2 linked regions of the Tamandua tetradactyla genome follow. Each later gene encodes a partner of the first gene's protein in a complex. Links are inferred from orthologs where the notes say so. Each region holds a gene or a part of one and is shown on either strand. Other genes may lie near its edges. The genes, in order: RIPK3 and ZBP1.

Region 1 (7,502 bases):
ATTCTTCCCCTATTGAATGGACTTGGCACCTTTGTCAAAACTACTTGGCACTGTTGTGGAAAATCAATTGATCATAGATTTGTGGGTTTATTTCTGAACTCTCACTTACTTGATTCCATTGGTCAACATATGCCAACCAATGCCACACTGTTTTGATTACTGCAGCTTGGTAGTAAAGTTGGAAATTGAGAATTGTGAGAGCTGAACCAGAGAATCAAGCAAGGATGAAAACTACTGCCACAGAGAATCAACATCTCAAAACTCTCTGATCCTCTCCAGCAGCTGTATTCTTGTGATAAATCCCTCACTTGCAAGAACTCACCAAAGAAAACCCACCTAACCCTACCCTCAACCCCCTTTAAAAATGTCTACTCAAATCCAGGCAGGCAGGAGTTGATTTCTTGAATCACCTCTCTTTGTGTTCCCCTGCTAATAAAACTTGCTTTTCCCACTGCCAGTGTCATGTCTCTGTCTCTGCTTCACATCTTTGACCTCCGCCCAGCCCAGGACTTTCAGGAAGTATAAGTCCTCCAACTTTATTCTTCTTTTTCAAGATTGACTTGGCTATTTGGGGCTCCTTGTCATTTCATACAAAATGTGATGATTGATTTTTCCATTTCTGCAAAGAAGGGTGTTGGAATTTTAATTGAGATTGTGTTGAATCTGTAAATTGCCTTGGGTAGTACTGACATCTTAACAATATTAAGCCTTCCAATCTATGAACATGGGATGTCTTTCCATATATGTAGGTATTCTTTAATTTCTTTCAGCAAGGTTTTGTAATTTGGGGAGTACAAGCCTTTCACCTCCTTTGTTGAATTTATTCCCAGGTATTTTTATTCTTTTGGATATTAAAATAAATGGAATTGTTTTACTTGATTTCCTTTTCAGATTGTTCATTGTTGATATATAAAAACAACTGATTGTTTGCATATTGACCTTGTACCCTACCACTTTGCTGAATTCATTTATTAGCTCTAGTAGCTTTGTTGTGGATTCTTTGAGATTTCCTATGTGTAAGATAATCTTCAAGTAGAGATAGTTTTACTTCTTCTTTTCTAATTTAGATGTCTTTAATTTCTTTTTCCTGCCTAATTGTTCTAGCTAGAACTTCCAGTACAATGTCAAATAGCAGTTGTGAAAGCAGGCATTCTTGTCTTGTTCCCAACTGTTCTAGTTTGCTAGCTGCTGGAATGCAATATTCCACAAATGGAATAGCTTTTAAAAAGGAGAATTTAATAAGTTGCAAGTTTATAGTCCTAAGGTCACTTAAAGAAATTCTATAGAAATGTCCAATCTGAGGCATCCAGGGAAAGATACCTTGGTTCAAGAAGGCCGATGAAGTTAAGGGTTTCTCTCTTGGCTGGAAGGGCACATGGCAAAGTCTGCTAGCATTCTCTTCTGGCTGCTCATTTCATGAAGCGCCCCAGGAGGCACCTCCAAAGGTCACTGGCTGATGGACTCTCTGCTTCTCATGGCTATGTCATTCTGAAGCTTTCTACAAAATGCTTCCTCTTTTAAAGAATTCCAGTAAAGTAATCAAGATCCACTTGGAATGGGTGGAGACATGTCTCCACCTAATCAAATTTAATACTCACTTTTGATTGAATCACATCTCGGTGGAGATGATCTAATTAAAGTTTCCAGCATACAGTACTGAATAGGGATTAGAAGAAATGCCGCCTTTACAAAATGGGGTTCGGATTAAAACATGGCTTTTCTAGGGTACATAAATCCTTTCAAACCAGCATACCAATCTTTGGGGAACAGCTTTCAGTTTTCACCATTGAGTACAACATTAGTCATTGGTTTGCATTTATGTCCTTTAGCATGTTGAGGAAGTTTGCTATTCCTACTTTTCTGAGTGTTTTATCAAGAAATGGGGCTGAGTTTTGTCAAATCCTTTCTTGAGTAAATGAGATAATCATGTGGGTTCTTTTCCTCTATTCTATTTATGTGGTGTTTTATACTGATTGATTTTCTTATGTTAAACCACCTTTGCATTCCTGGCATAAATCCCACTTGCTCATGGTGTATAATCCTTTAAATGTACCATTGGGTTCGGTTTCCTAGTAATCTGTTGAGGATTTTTACATCTATATTCATAAGGGATATTGGTTTGCAATTCTCCTTTCCTGCTATGTATAACCAGATCCTCTTAATCTAACAAGAGATGAGCATCAGTTAGTATTAGAATATGCAAAAAGACAGATCACACCCTCCTGCCCACCCCCACCCCAAATACACACATCTTATATACAGGGATTGGGAATCAGACCAGGCACTAGGCATGGGCTAAAGGTAATCAGAAACTATCAGGAGCAGAGAACCAAAGAGGATGAAAAACATCTAACACTGCCCCCAAAGCCTGGGGCTACTGGGGTCAGAAAACCAAGCCTCAGGAAAAGCCAGAGCTCCAAAATCAGGAATCAACTCTCTCTTGGTTCACCACCACCACCACATCACCACTGGAAGCAGAAGGCACTCATTCTAAGCTCCGCTACTCACCCCTCCTTCTCTGAAAGGGGTTCCATTTATTTTGAGTCAAAAAGTAACAGAACCCTGATTCCACCTCACCCCAGTGTCCCACAGTAGCTTTTCCCTATCCTCAAAGTCTTGTCCCAATCTAAAGAGACTCAAGCATTAAGAGGTCTTTAAACACAATTCTAACTCCCTTCTGCCTGCTCCTTTTAAGTGGAACTATTGATCCCAGGGTCTTCTCCTGAAAAAAGAATCACCAAGGGAGTGACTGTGGTTCTGCACGGCTCCCAGCTTCTGACTCGAGGCTTTTTTTTTGAGGACCTGCTGTTATTCTTGTCTTTGGATTCAATATTATATCTCTATAATAAAGTCTGTTTCAGACTAATTTCATCAACTGTGCAAGTGAGAGTCCCCAAACCATAAAGGAGCCCAATCTACCCTCTTCCCAATGCATATGGAGCTGTAGCTGAAATGATCAGAGACTTAAGGAAGCTCCCCAAATTTTGCTTGTTCATTCATTCACTCAGTCATTGTATTTAGCCAATAATTATTGGGTGCTTACCATATACTGTCTTGTAAAGAAACTATGGTCTAAGAAGTAACCTCAAGGAATTCCTAAAATAAAATTGTTCCAAAGCATGGGCAAATCCCACCAGAAACCATGGTGTACATCTTGAAATTTCCAATTGCTCTGGAAGCCACAGTTAACTGCTGGGCACTTCTTCTCCAACTAACAGAGCCCACAGACCACTGGACAGGATGTAAAGTGCATATCAAGGTGAGCCCTCCAGGGTTGAGTCTTCCTACAATCTCTATCCATGGCCAGGCTACCTAAATACTTAAGGCTTCCTGAATTCCAACATTCTCAGAGCCTGGAGCCCAGAACATGTGCTTGTCAGGTATACGAACTGGTCAGGGGATTTGCATGGAGAAGTTGGCATGAGGGTAGGGAGGACTCTAAGGTGTTTCCACTGCAGTGGACACCACAATGTCAGCAACTCTCTGGCTGAGCTAATTCATCTAGACTGACCTCAATGCCCTGGGAGTGAGTGGGTTTTGGTCTCACCAGCTCCAGGAGTCCCAGTTTACAGTTTACAGAGCAGACAGATCACTACCAATGTTGGGTGCTTGCCTCAGCAAGAGCAGCTATCAGGGACTGGGCAGACTACAGATGGGGACCCTTCACTGTCTTAGTGGACCTTTCATACCTTCCCCAGACACTTTCACCACCAGCTGAGGGGTACAGCCCTGAAGCTACGTGAAAATAAAGTAACTTGACAGTTAAGAGGCAGGAGCCAGTTTCCTACTGGCTTGAGCGAGGAACTTAAGGTGGCTCAGTTTCCTCTTCCATAAAAAAAGAAATGGATAAACACAGTGCCTAGCCCCTTATGGTTAATGTGAGAATTAAACAAGCTAATATGTGTGCTTGGCACAGGGTGAGTATTACAGAAGTCTTAGCTATGATCTTAGGGCAACTGTGGGAGAGCTGAGCAGCAGGCCCATAAAACCCTTCTAAGCACTGCCCTGCAGGCCTGGCAAGTGGTGGAGCTGGGAATCTCCTGGGAGAAGGGAGAGACCCAGCCGGTAGGACTGAGGGCTGACTGGGGATTCTTGGAAGGTGACGACACCTTCTGCAGCACCTTAAACGCCCAGTGACCCCTAATAAGGACCTGGCATGCAGCAGGTGTTCGAGGAAACACTAATTAGAAAAAACAAAAACTGCAGTAGCTTTAGTTTTGCTCCACCCCCGGGGCGGGACTCTGACAGCGAGCCTGTCGGGGAAGGAAGTGTGCTCACTCCTTCCGTGTAGCGTAGCGGAAGAAACCCTGGAGGCAGAGTCCCTGCTGGACCCAGAAATTGACCCTTTCCCAGCCCCCGACCTCCCCTCCTTCCCCCCACGTCCGGCTCCCGAAGACCTCCATCCCTGCAGGTCACGACTTCCAGAAGCCCAGCCTGATGTCTAGCGGAATATGGTGAGAGGGGCGTGGGGGTGTCGACCGGGCACACTGACTGTCCAGCAAGTAGGGCGCCGGGCGGACACCTTCGGGAGCACCGTGGCGCCCCGAATCCAGGCCGGGACAGACGGAGAGGCGGGGGGAAGGGCTACTGCACGGAGGAGGGGAGGGCGCCGCGCCGATGTGGGACCGTGGCCGCCTGGTGGACGAGGCAACCTCATTAAGGTCCACAGGTGCCCCTGCCCCCAAGGTGTCCTTCGAGGAATTGGAAAACCCGACGCTGGTCGGCCAGGGCGGGTTCGGCGTGGTGTTCAGGGCCCGACATAAGAAGTGGGGCTACGATGTGGCCCTCAAGCTGGTGAACTCGTGAGTGACGTCGGCGTCGGACAGCACCGGGTCCTGACCTAGGAGGCCCGAGATGCTGTGCCCTGCAGCCTGGGAGAGGGAAGGCGGGGGCGGGGAGGAAAGGGATTGGGGGGAAGGGGAGAAGAGCAGAAAAATCTCTCCAGGATGCTGGGCCCACTCAGCACCCTTCTCCTGGCCTGTAGGGAGACGTTATCCAAGGAGGTGAAGGCCATGGGCAGTCTGCGTAACCAGTTTGTGCTGCTCCTGCTGGGGGTCACTGAGAAACTGAAGTCTGCGTATGGGTGCAGGCCGGCTCTGGTGACTCGGTTCATGGAGAACGGCTCCCTCACAGAGCTGCTGCAACCCGGGTGCCCTCGGCCTTGGCCGCTCCTCTGCCGCCTCCTGCAGGAGGTGGTGCTGGGGATGTGTTACCTGCACAGCCTGAACCCCGTACTCCTGCATCGAGACCTCAAGCCGTCCAACGTCCTGCTGGACTCTGAGCTGCACGCTCAGGTCAGCCCACACCCATCCTGCCCCACAGCTGCTTCAGCTTGGGCCGGTCACACAGACCCTGTGCTGCCCTAGTTCACTGGAGCCCTGCAGACACAGTCCTGTTCAGGGGTCGAGGCCCACCCAGGAACTTCCACCTCTGTCCTACCAGGAAACAGATCCTGACCCACCCCAGTTATTTCCTCAGGCATCCCCGCCCCTTCAGTCAGTCCCCACAAAGAGCCATGACTGACCTAGCCCAAAAGACTCAGGCCTTGATCTGGCCCCATCCAGTAGGAGACATAGTCTTCCAACCCAATGGCCCCATTGACCCTCCCCTTCCTCTGACCTTACACACACCCTTTACAAGGCAGGAGCTGCATCTACTGTTAGGAGTAGAGTGAGCAGGAAGGTGCATTGGAGGCTGCCTGATGCCTTCCCCTACCTCCTTCTTTTTCCCTTCCTTTGCAGCTGGCAGATTTTGGCCTATCCACATTTCAGAAGAGTTCAAAGTCAGGAAAAAGTTTCAGCAATCCAATAGGCACCCTAGCCTACCTGGCCCCAGAACTGTTGGCTGATGTAAACCAGAATCCCTCCACAGCCTGTGATGTCTTCAGGTAAGGTACACACCCCAAACATATCCCAAATCTCAACATCTTTCTGGGAGCAGGGTGTTGCCAGTGGCTGGGCCAAGCCTCAGGTTTGTGTCTTTTGCAGCTTCGGGATCCTCATGTGGGAAGTGCTAGCTGGAAAAGAAGCTGAGAGTAAGACTCTAGGTGGACTCCAGGATCCTTAACTCCATATGCCCTCCTCCCTCAAACCCCCAAGCCCTTCCCTTCCTGCTCATCTCTGCACATTGCCTTATTCATGCCTCCCCTCCCCACAAAACCCTTGGACCATATTCCCTGGTGATTTTAATGATGAAGCAGGTTACCCTTCATATCTCTTCCCTCCCCCTTTCCCTTTGCCCCAGTGCCCAAGACAACACTGATGAAGATATTAGTGTGTGAGGAGCAGAGCCGGCCCTCATTAAGAGAGCTGCCCCAACCTGGGCCCAAGACTCCTGGCTTGGAAGACCTGAAAGAATTAATGCAGCAGTGCTGGAGCCACAAGCCCAGTGACAGGCCCTCCTTCCAGGGTGAGCTAACCATTCAGCTAGCACGAGGGGCAGGCCTGGCTCTCACTGCAGGCTTTTCCCTGGGAATGATGTTTAGCTCACCTAGCCATTTTGCCATTTCTCCAGACTGCCAACCAAAAATGGCTGCAGTCATCCTTCAGGTGCAAGATGAGATGGATGCCTCTGTCTCCATGGTGAGCCCCCAACCCCACCCAGGGGCTGGTCAGGGAAAGCACATTATGGTCTCCTTGGCCACCAGTGACTTCCCTTTAATGACAGTTCTGTATATCCACTCTCCCCACCTTACCTGCAAATTCCCAGGTAGCAGAATATGACCCAAGACTACTTCCTCTGCTTTACACTCTGGTTCTCCCATTTCCGTGCATGACAAGCTCTTCCTGTCCCTACAGGTGAGGACATTTCTGTCTGAGCACAGGGGCAGCAACAGAAGGGGTTCTGCCCCAAAACTGGGCCCAGGAGGGATGGAGATGGATGGTGCTGGAGTTGATCCTATGATCTCTGAATTCCTGAACAATCTGCACCTGGAGGAGGACCCCAGCTCTGATCCTAAAGAATATGTCAAATTTACTGAGGGAATCAAGCCAAAGGAAGAGCAGGTTCAAGAAGCCAGGTCAGCAGGGACATCCTCAGATTCAAATGCCCGACCTCCCCAAACTCCAGAGAGTTCATCTTTCATAAACCAGATGCCCAGCCTCGCTTCGAACTGGGCCTCAGGTCCTTGGCCCCAAGAAAACCAGGTAAGACATCGGTGGGTCTAGGGAATGGACTGAGACTTCCTGTGAATCTTGTCCTTTCGCCGGACAAAATTTGGGGCTGAGGGGGATGTATAGTGGGGGAAACAGGCCTGAAAAGCTCTGTATTGTCTGCAGGGGGCTGAGAAACAAGGCAATAATTGGTCTCCCTTGAACCATCAGACAAATTCAATTCCAGGTACCAATCTCCCACCCTCTTCTTTCCCTTGCTCAATTTTTCCACCAGCTTATTCCTCAAGACTTATAGATACCAAGTAACTTGGTGAGAAAGGTGTTTAGAAGTCATCTAACGTGACCTCCTCCTTTAATAAATGAGGAAGTTGACATCCACTGAAAGAGGGT
Region 2 (7,727 bases), on another chromosome or scaffold:
CAGTCATACTCATTTGTTAAACCCTATCTTCTCTGTTTTAATTCCTCCCTCTCCTTTGATCCTTCTCCCAATCTTTAGGGATATTTGGACTATGGCCATTCTAACTTCTTGTTGATAATATGGGATAGAGGGATGGAACTAGTTGATGTTCTTGGAGAGGCTGGCCCCTCTGGGTTTCAGGACTTATCTGGCCTAGGTGCCCATCTGGAGGTTGTAGGTTACTGGGAAGTAATCTTAGTGCCTGAAACTTTGTAGACTCTCAGATAAAATCATAAGTGTCCTTTAGGGTTAATAGGAATGATCTTGGCTGGAGTTTGGCAAACCGTGGTAATGAGCAATATCTAGCTGAAGCTGGAGTAGCCTCCAGAATAGGCTCTTGACTCCACCTGAACTCTTTTAGCCACTGATATTGTATTTTGTTCCATTTCATTTCCCCCTTTTGGTCAGGAAGGCGTTGTCGATCCCATGCTGCCAGGGTCAGACTCATCTGTGGGAGTCAGGTCCCACGTTGCCAGGGAGACTTTCACCCCTGGATGTCATGTCCTGCCTGGCAGGGAGGGTAATGATTTTCCTTGTAGAGTTGGGTTTAGAGAGAGAGAAAGACCAGATCTGAGCAGCAAAAGAGGTTCTCTGGGTGTGACTATTAGGCATAAGTATAGGTCGGCTTAGCGTCTCTGATACAGAAATAAGCTTCATAAGAGCAAACCTCAAGATCAAGGGCTTGGCTTATTGACTAGGGAGTCCCTAATGTTTGACACAATATCAGGGGTTTCCCCAGTGGTAAAGCTTAATAGTTTCATATGTTTTCTCCAGTTTTTCAAGGGGCTTTGCCAGTACTTTTTTTTGGGGGGGGGCATGGTTCAGGAATCAAACCTGGGTCTCCTGCATGGAAGGTGAGCATTCTACCACTGAACCACCTGTGCACCCCACTTGCCAATACTTTTTCAATATATATGTCCTGCCTTTCTTTTTTTCTTTGCATGGCAAAGAAAAAACCCAGGTATCCTGCATGGCAGATGAGAACTGTCTGCTGAGCCACCACGGCCCGCCCTTGCCAATACTTTTTAATTATCTGCCAACATATTCTGGATTGTATTCTGGTATTATGTCAAGCTATACAGTCTTATAAGCTCTCATTTCCTTTCTGGGCTCCATATGTTTGGGTTGTTTAAATGAGTGATCCAAACAGGTTGAGTTAGATTATGTGCTACAGAAAATGTAAGTTTTGGACAAAATAAACCTCCCTTCCTTTGGTCTCATATAGTAGGTGACGTTCTAAAATGCAATGTCACCCTTACCCCTGTATTCTGATTTACCTTAGTCCTGACCAGCTTGGCTTCATTCTTATCTCTAATTGAAGCCTGATCTCTTTATTTCTTAGCTTCTTGAACAGTTGCTGTAGGTAGCACTGCTGACTTGCAGAGCTGCAGAATTCCAACTCAGTCTCAGGTGTCACACAGGTTGCCCAAATTCCAGGGAGATACCAGGTTATACATAAATACCACAGCATCTCAAAACCTAGAAATAACATTTACAGCTCTAGACTAAATGTGACTGCTGTAAGAGTTTACAATTTAAGCCCTAATTTTCTTATAAGTATTTTCTAAAAGAGACCGTACAATATTTTGTTGTTGTTGTTTCTGGCTTATTTTGCATAACATTATGACCCCAAGGTTCATTCACCTCACTGCATGACTGCATTCCTTTCCGTAGCCATACGATATCCCATCACATGTACATACCACAGCTCTCCGTTCTCAGTGTACCCTTCAGCCACCTCCATCCATTGAGGATCATGGGTAATGTCCAAAGTCAACAACCCCTGCTTCACATTATCCTCACTTCACTGCAGGATCATCAACACTCTCAATTTTAGACAATTTTCATTGCTCCAAAGAGAAAAATAACCAATAGACACATCCTCACTGTGCCAGTTTGAATCTGTGGTGGACCCCAGAAAAGCCATGTCTTTTAATTCTCATTCAGTATTGCTGGTTGGGAGCATTTTGATTGTTCCCATGGAGATGTGACCCACCCAATTGTGGGTGGTAACTTTTGATAAGATAGCTCCATGGAGTGGTGACTCCGCCCATTAATACTTTAAAAGAGGAAACAGTTTAGAGCCGCGAGAAAGCCACAGCAGAGCCTAGCAGAGCCACAAGGTTGAGAGAAGTACAGAGTCCATAGGCCAGCAACCTTTGGAGCTGAAGAATGCCCCTGGGGGAGCTTCATGAAACAAGAATCGGGGAGAGGAAGCTAGCAGATGTTGCCATATTCCCAACATGCCTTCCCAGTTGAGTGCAAAACGCTGAACCCATCAGCCTTTCTTGAGTGACAGTAACCTCTTCTTGGGGTCTTAATTTGGACATTTTTATAGCCTTGCTTTAATTGGGGCATTTTCTTGGCCTTAGACCTGTAAACGTATAACTTATTAGATTCCCCTTTTTAAAGCCATTCTGTTTCTGGTATATCGCTTTCTGGCAGCTAGCAAACTACAACACTCACCGAATGGAAAATCCAAACCTTCCCTTAACTCTTGTCCTCCCCACCCCCCAATTATTTACCCCTGGCATTGCTGTGGGACTGTTGATGTCTTCCTGTTAAGTATAGACCATAGTATGCAATGGCAATGTCCCCCTATATCCCTCTATTATTGACCCTTTGTACAAGATTCATACCTTTGAAGTAGTTCATGCAAGAACTTATTTATATTTGTAGTGTTAATCAGTGGGATACGTGGCTCCATACGACCCCTTTCAATCATGTTCACCCTCAGTACGGCAGTATTACTTATAAACCCACTAATGAACTGCCATTCCCTTACATTTAAATTCAACCTCACTAACTGCTCACCCATCTCTAACTTCTATGTATCTCTAGGTCCCCTATATCTTATATTATAAGCCTCTGAGTTTGCCTTTACCGAGGTCATAATAGCAAAATCATACAGTATGTATTCTTTAGTGTCTGGCTTATTTCACTCAGCATTATGTCCTCAAGTTTCATCCATGTTGTCATGTGCTTTGGGATCTCATTTCATCTTATTGCTGCATAATACTCCATTGTATGTATGTGCCACATTTTGTTTATCCACTTGTCTGTTGATGGACACTTGGATTGTTTCCATTTTTTGGCAAATGTGAGTAATGCTGCTATGACCACTGGTGTGCAAATGTCTGTTTGTGTCACTGCTTTCAGCTCTTCTGAGTATATACAGAGTAGTGGTATTACTGGGTCATAGGGCAACATGATATTTAGTTTTCAAAGAACTGCCAAACTATCTTCCATAGTGGCTGGACCATTATACATTCCCACCAGCAGTGCATAAGAGTCCCAATTTCTCCACCTCCTCTTCAACATTTGTAGTATCCTACAAATTTGTTTAATAGCAGCCATTCTTGTAAGTGTGAGGTGACGGCTGAGTTCTTAACCCTCTCGGCTGCCCACAAGACCCTTCACCTTTCTGGATCTCAGTTTCCCCTTCTAGAAACTAGAAGAGAACAGTGGCTCTGAACTGTTTTGGGGTCATTGGCTCCTTTGAGAATTTGTACACGCAATAGTTTCTCTTCGGAGAGAAATGTATTTTGGCACCTTAGGATGGACGGATTTGTTTTCACTGTGACCCAATGAATTAGGTACTTTTATTAATCCCACTCGACAGGTGAGGAAACCAAGGCCCAGAGAGGTTAGATAACTTTCCCAAGATCACACAGCCAGCAAACTGTGGGACTGCTCTTGAACCCAAGCAGCCGGGCTCCAGGCTCGCATTCCCCAACACCGAGCAATAAGGGCCCTGGGGGTGGTTTTCTATTCTGTGATCCCCAAATTACTCGGTAGGTTCTGTGGCGTGGCTGGGAGCCTGATGTGGTTCTGTGGGCTGAATGTGGTTCACACAGGACTTCAGGAAACACAGCTGGAAGACAAACCACGAGGCAGCCAGGCTGTCTCTGCCAGGTACTGTCTTTATGACCTCTCTGGCCTGTGCCTCGTCTCCTCTCTGAGACAAGAGGACAGAGCCAGTCTGGGTGAGATAGAGGAGCACAGGAGATCGGAAAGCACATTGTAGGCGCTCATTCGAGAGGGCTGTCACCTCGGTACGCATGTGAGCACCCACCCAGGTGTCTCAGCCTGGGTGCCGGGGTTAGGGAGGTCGGGGCGAGCAGCCAGGTGTGCAGGCGGCTCAGGCAAGGGCCCAGGGCTGCTCACTCCGATCCAGCCCCACCCAGTGAACATCTGCCCTGCTGGTTGATCCTGCAGTTTTATTTACTTAGAAAGTCAACCACAGAAGTTTCATTTTCTTTTTCATTGGGTTGGCCGGAAACAGAGGGGGCAGGCCTCCATTTGCAGTGTGAGGAGCTGATAGCAGCAGCTGAAGCTGACCTCCCACCCGTGACCCGGCACCCACTCCCAAGGCCAGTGCCAGCTCCCCGCAGTCTCTATCCCGCTGCTGTCAGCATGGCCCAGGCCGCTGCGGACACAGCCACCAAAGGTACAGTAAGTTCTTCCTTCCCAGGAGAGCGGGGCTCCCGGGAGGGGACATGCACTTCTCTTTCTGGCCCAGATCACGAAGGTAACTGTGGCACAGGAACCAAAGGCCGGAGCAGCAGGACAGGGCCTTGGGGGCGCACCTACGGCAGGGCTCCCCCAAACAGCCCTCAGGCTGGGCGCGGGGAGTGCAAGGATTCCTGCCGAGCAGACAAGCTGACGGGGCCAGGCTCCTGAGCTGCAGGGTGACTCGGGGCAGCCCAGCCGGCTAGCGTTAGAGGCAGGATTTGAACCACCCCCTCTTCATACTCATGTTGAGAAACAAAGAACTACCCACGTGTATGTTTTCTCCCGTTTCCAGCATCCCCTCAGTTAGTTTCACTCTGAGAAGAGTAACAAATCCACTGTACTGGGCAGTTGTCTGGGGCTGTCTGCTAAGCGCCCGTGGCCTGTGGGCTGAGGGTGCTGCTTGGGGTGACCTCATTCCATCCTTGCCACAAACTTTGAAGCAGATGCTGTTATTAGCCCCATTTCACAGACAGGGTAAACCAAGGCACAAAGCGTCCACACAGCCAGTAGGCAGCAGAACCAGGGCTCAAACCCAGGAAACCCATCACCAGAGGATAAAAAGGAAGAAAAGAGAGAGTTGGGAGGGGGCTCGGTGGGGTGCAGCCCGGAGCCCCGGCTGGTCCCTGAGCTCATCCTTCCAGGGGTTGGGAATGCGCTGGCCTCTCCCATCTTCCTTCTTCTCCGGTTGATTTTCCATCTATCTCATCATTTACATCTGGTCCATTTTGCAACACAGCAGGCTGGAACGGGGTGCCTTCTCCTTCACCCACGTCTCTGACCCCACCTCTTGTTTGGGGTCAGGGTTGGGGCTGGGGAAGAGGGAAGTTGAGCCAACTTGCTGGGCAGACTCTTTAAGAAGCAAAACTCTTGTCAAGACTGCAGCCAGTTTGCTGGGATTTCTGGCCCACTGAGGCTGTGATTTGGGGGTTGATGAGGTGGTGCTTCCAGGTTTTCTAATTGCTCTTTACCTGAACCCAGGGGTGGGGTCTTTCTGAAGGACCCTGCTTTGAACTTCCTCAGGGTTCTTGGGGTTAAGAAACTTCCTGGTGACATGCTGGGCGGCCCTGAACCGGCTTTCTTGCTGTGCTGTCCCTGTCCCTGCCCCTGTCACGGCCCCCTGACCTGTTTCTGCCTTTTACTATCCTTCTACTCATTTCCCTGAGTCTGATTCCTCCTTGCAGAGCAGCTGATTTTGATTTTCAAGAACCTGCCCCAGGAGGAGCAGGGGCCTCTGAGAGTCCCTCCATGAGCCTCGTAGTGTTCTGCTTAGGGCTCACTAAACTCAGAGCAGGAAACTGAGGCACATACGGACTGGCCCAGGGGAGCTGCTCATGACCTGCCCCTGGGGCATCAGGCAGATGTCTGTACAGGTGGAGGATAAATTTATTCACTTACTCACTTATTCACTCATTCACAACTCATTCATTCAACCGTCCTTGGCTCTAGGCTAGTCCGTGATGGTACCAAGGTGAGTCAGGCCACTGCAGTGGGGGGGTCTGTGGGGACACTCTGTAGGGACCCACATATAAACAGCAGTCTAGGATGGTTTCCCAAAGGAGATGGCATCTAAGCAAGACCTGGGATGTCGAGTAGGCTCTGGAGGCGGGGTAAAGAGTGATCTTGACAAAGGGAACAGCACGTGCCAAGGCCCGGGGGTGAGAGGGACTGAAAGGAGCACTGTCAGGTTGGTGCGTGGAGCAAAACTGGGGGCGGTGGGGCAGTAGGCCGAGCTGGAGTGTGTGGGTCTTTCAGGCTGTGGGAGGAGCTGGAATCAGACTCTGGCTGCTGAGCCAAGGGGAACCCCGCTGGAGATGGGGGCTCTGGCCAGGAGCCCGCTGCTGTCACTCAGGCAAGAGACCTGGGCTGTGGGTACAGCAGAGAGAAGTGCAGGGATTCAAGGGGGAACCTGGCAATGGGTCTCTCCAGGACACCACAGTCACATGGGCACTGGGAGAAAGATCATTCCCGAACGCCTGCCAGGGCCCTGGCTTGGGGGAGTCACGATCGACCGGGTTGCCGAGTTGGCAAAACCACGCAGAGGGGCGGATTCCGCAGGGAGGACGACAACAGGGATCAGAGAATGCCACGTCGTGGGGCGTGACAGGCGGGGACTGCCGGCCTCTCCCCCCAGCACCCGTGCCCCTTCCCCCTGCCTGAGAACAGCTGAAAGCTGCCTTCCCACCTGCCGTGGGGCGCTCACATAGGGCCCTGCCTGGAGCCCCTCCCTTCCCAGGCCACCAGCCAAGGCTGTTTGGGAGCAGTCTGCCTGCCCCGCACAGCGGGCAGAGGCTGCCCGGGCCTCTGTGCCCTTCCTCTGCCCGGGCCCCCGTTCTCCCAGACCGCCCTGCCCCTTTCTCTCCTAGGGGACCTGGAACGGAAGATCCTGCAGGTGCTGCGGGACGCGGGCTCCCCCGTGAAGACTGCCCAGCTGGTGAAGGAGTGCCAAGTGCCTAAGAAGGAGCTCAACCACCTTCTCTACCAAATGGAAAAGGAGTCCAAAGTCGCCCTGGCGGCCCCTGCCACCTGGCACTTGGGCAGGACTGGGTCTAAAGTGGCAGTTCCCGCAGCGCTGGCAGAGCCCAGCGGCGGTAACCTGTCATCCCGGGGGGAGGGGGAGGGGGAGCCAGCCTCAGCCCGGACAAGTCCCATTTGGGCCCCATTGACCTGGGTTCAAATCCAAGCTCTGCCACTAGGGGGCGTGATACCCAGTCACTGTGCTTGATTTCTTTTTCTGCTCAGTGGAGGTGACTATAGGGCTACTTTTTGGGAGAGAATTAAAAGCAAAGGGCTCAAACCCAGTGCCAGTGCACAGGAGGTGTGCAACAAAACATTACAAATAATGACAGAAAGTGATAATGATAACAATGATAGAATGAATCATAATAAAACAAAGTTTGCATCACACTTGATGCAAACTTTCCAGTTTTACAGCTGATGGAAAAACAGCACTAACATTTGGTAAATACTTAAATGGGCTGTCGCTGTGCTCAGAGATTCAGACTCATTCGTTTTAACCTTCGGAACAACCCTGGGTGGGAGGGAGCTATTGTTCCTCTCCTTATTCTACGGGAAAGGAAATCAAGCTCAGAGAGGTTAACTAACTCCACCAAAGCCACACAGCAGGTTTTGGATTCAAGTTCATTCAACCTTGGCATCTAAGCTGGAAGCCACTA

Evidence for each region.
Region 2: RIPK3 (region 1) and ZBP1 share a complex: the UniProt entries of both Homo sapiens proteins name them as parts of the AIM2 PANoptosome complex. The link is inferred for Tamandua tetradactyla from reciprocal best matches to the Homo sapiens genes RIPK3 and ZBP1.

Annotation. Positions count from the first base shown.
Region 1 is NC_135340.1:30,329,315-30,336,816, forward strand, and holds the start of RIPK3 (receptor-interacting serine/threonine-protein kinase 3), read left to right. Parts: upstream 1-4,249; 5' UTR 4,250-4,437; coding exon 4,438-4,454; intron 4,455-4,661; coding exon 4,662-4,802; intron 4,803-4,984; coding exon 4,985-5,294; intron 5,295-5,741; coding exon 5,742-5,887; intron 5,888-5,987; coding exon 5,988-6,034; intron 6,035-6,243; coding exon 6,244-6,408; intron 6,409-6,513; coding exon 6,514-6,581; intron 6,582-6,797; coding exon 6,798-7,145; intron 7,146-7,277; coding exon 7,278-7,338; intron 7,339-7,502. UniProt on the Homo sapiens protein: Serine/threonine-protein kinase that activates necroptosis and apoptosis, two parallel forms of cell death. Necroptosis, a programmed cell death process in response to death-inducing TNF-alpha family members, is triggered by RIPK3 following activation by ZBP1.
Region 2 is NC_135327.1:27,816,289-27,824,015, forward strand, and holds the start of ZBP1 (Z-DNA-binding protein 1), read left to right. Parts: upstream 1-4,299; 5' UTR 4,300-4,455; coding exon 4,456-4,489; intron 4,490-6,917; coding exon 6,918-7,142; intron 7,143-7,727.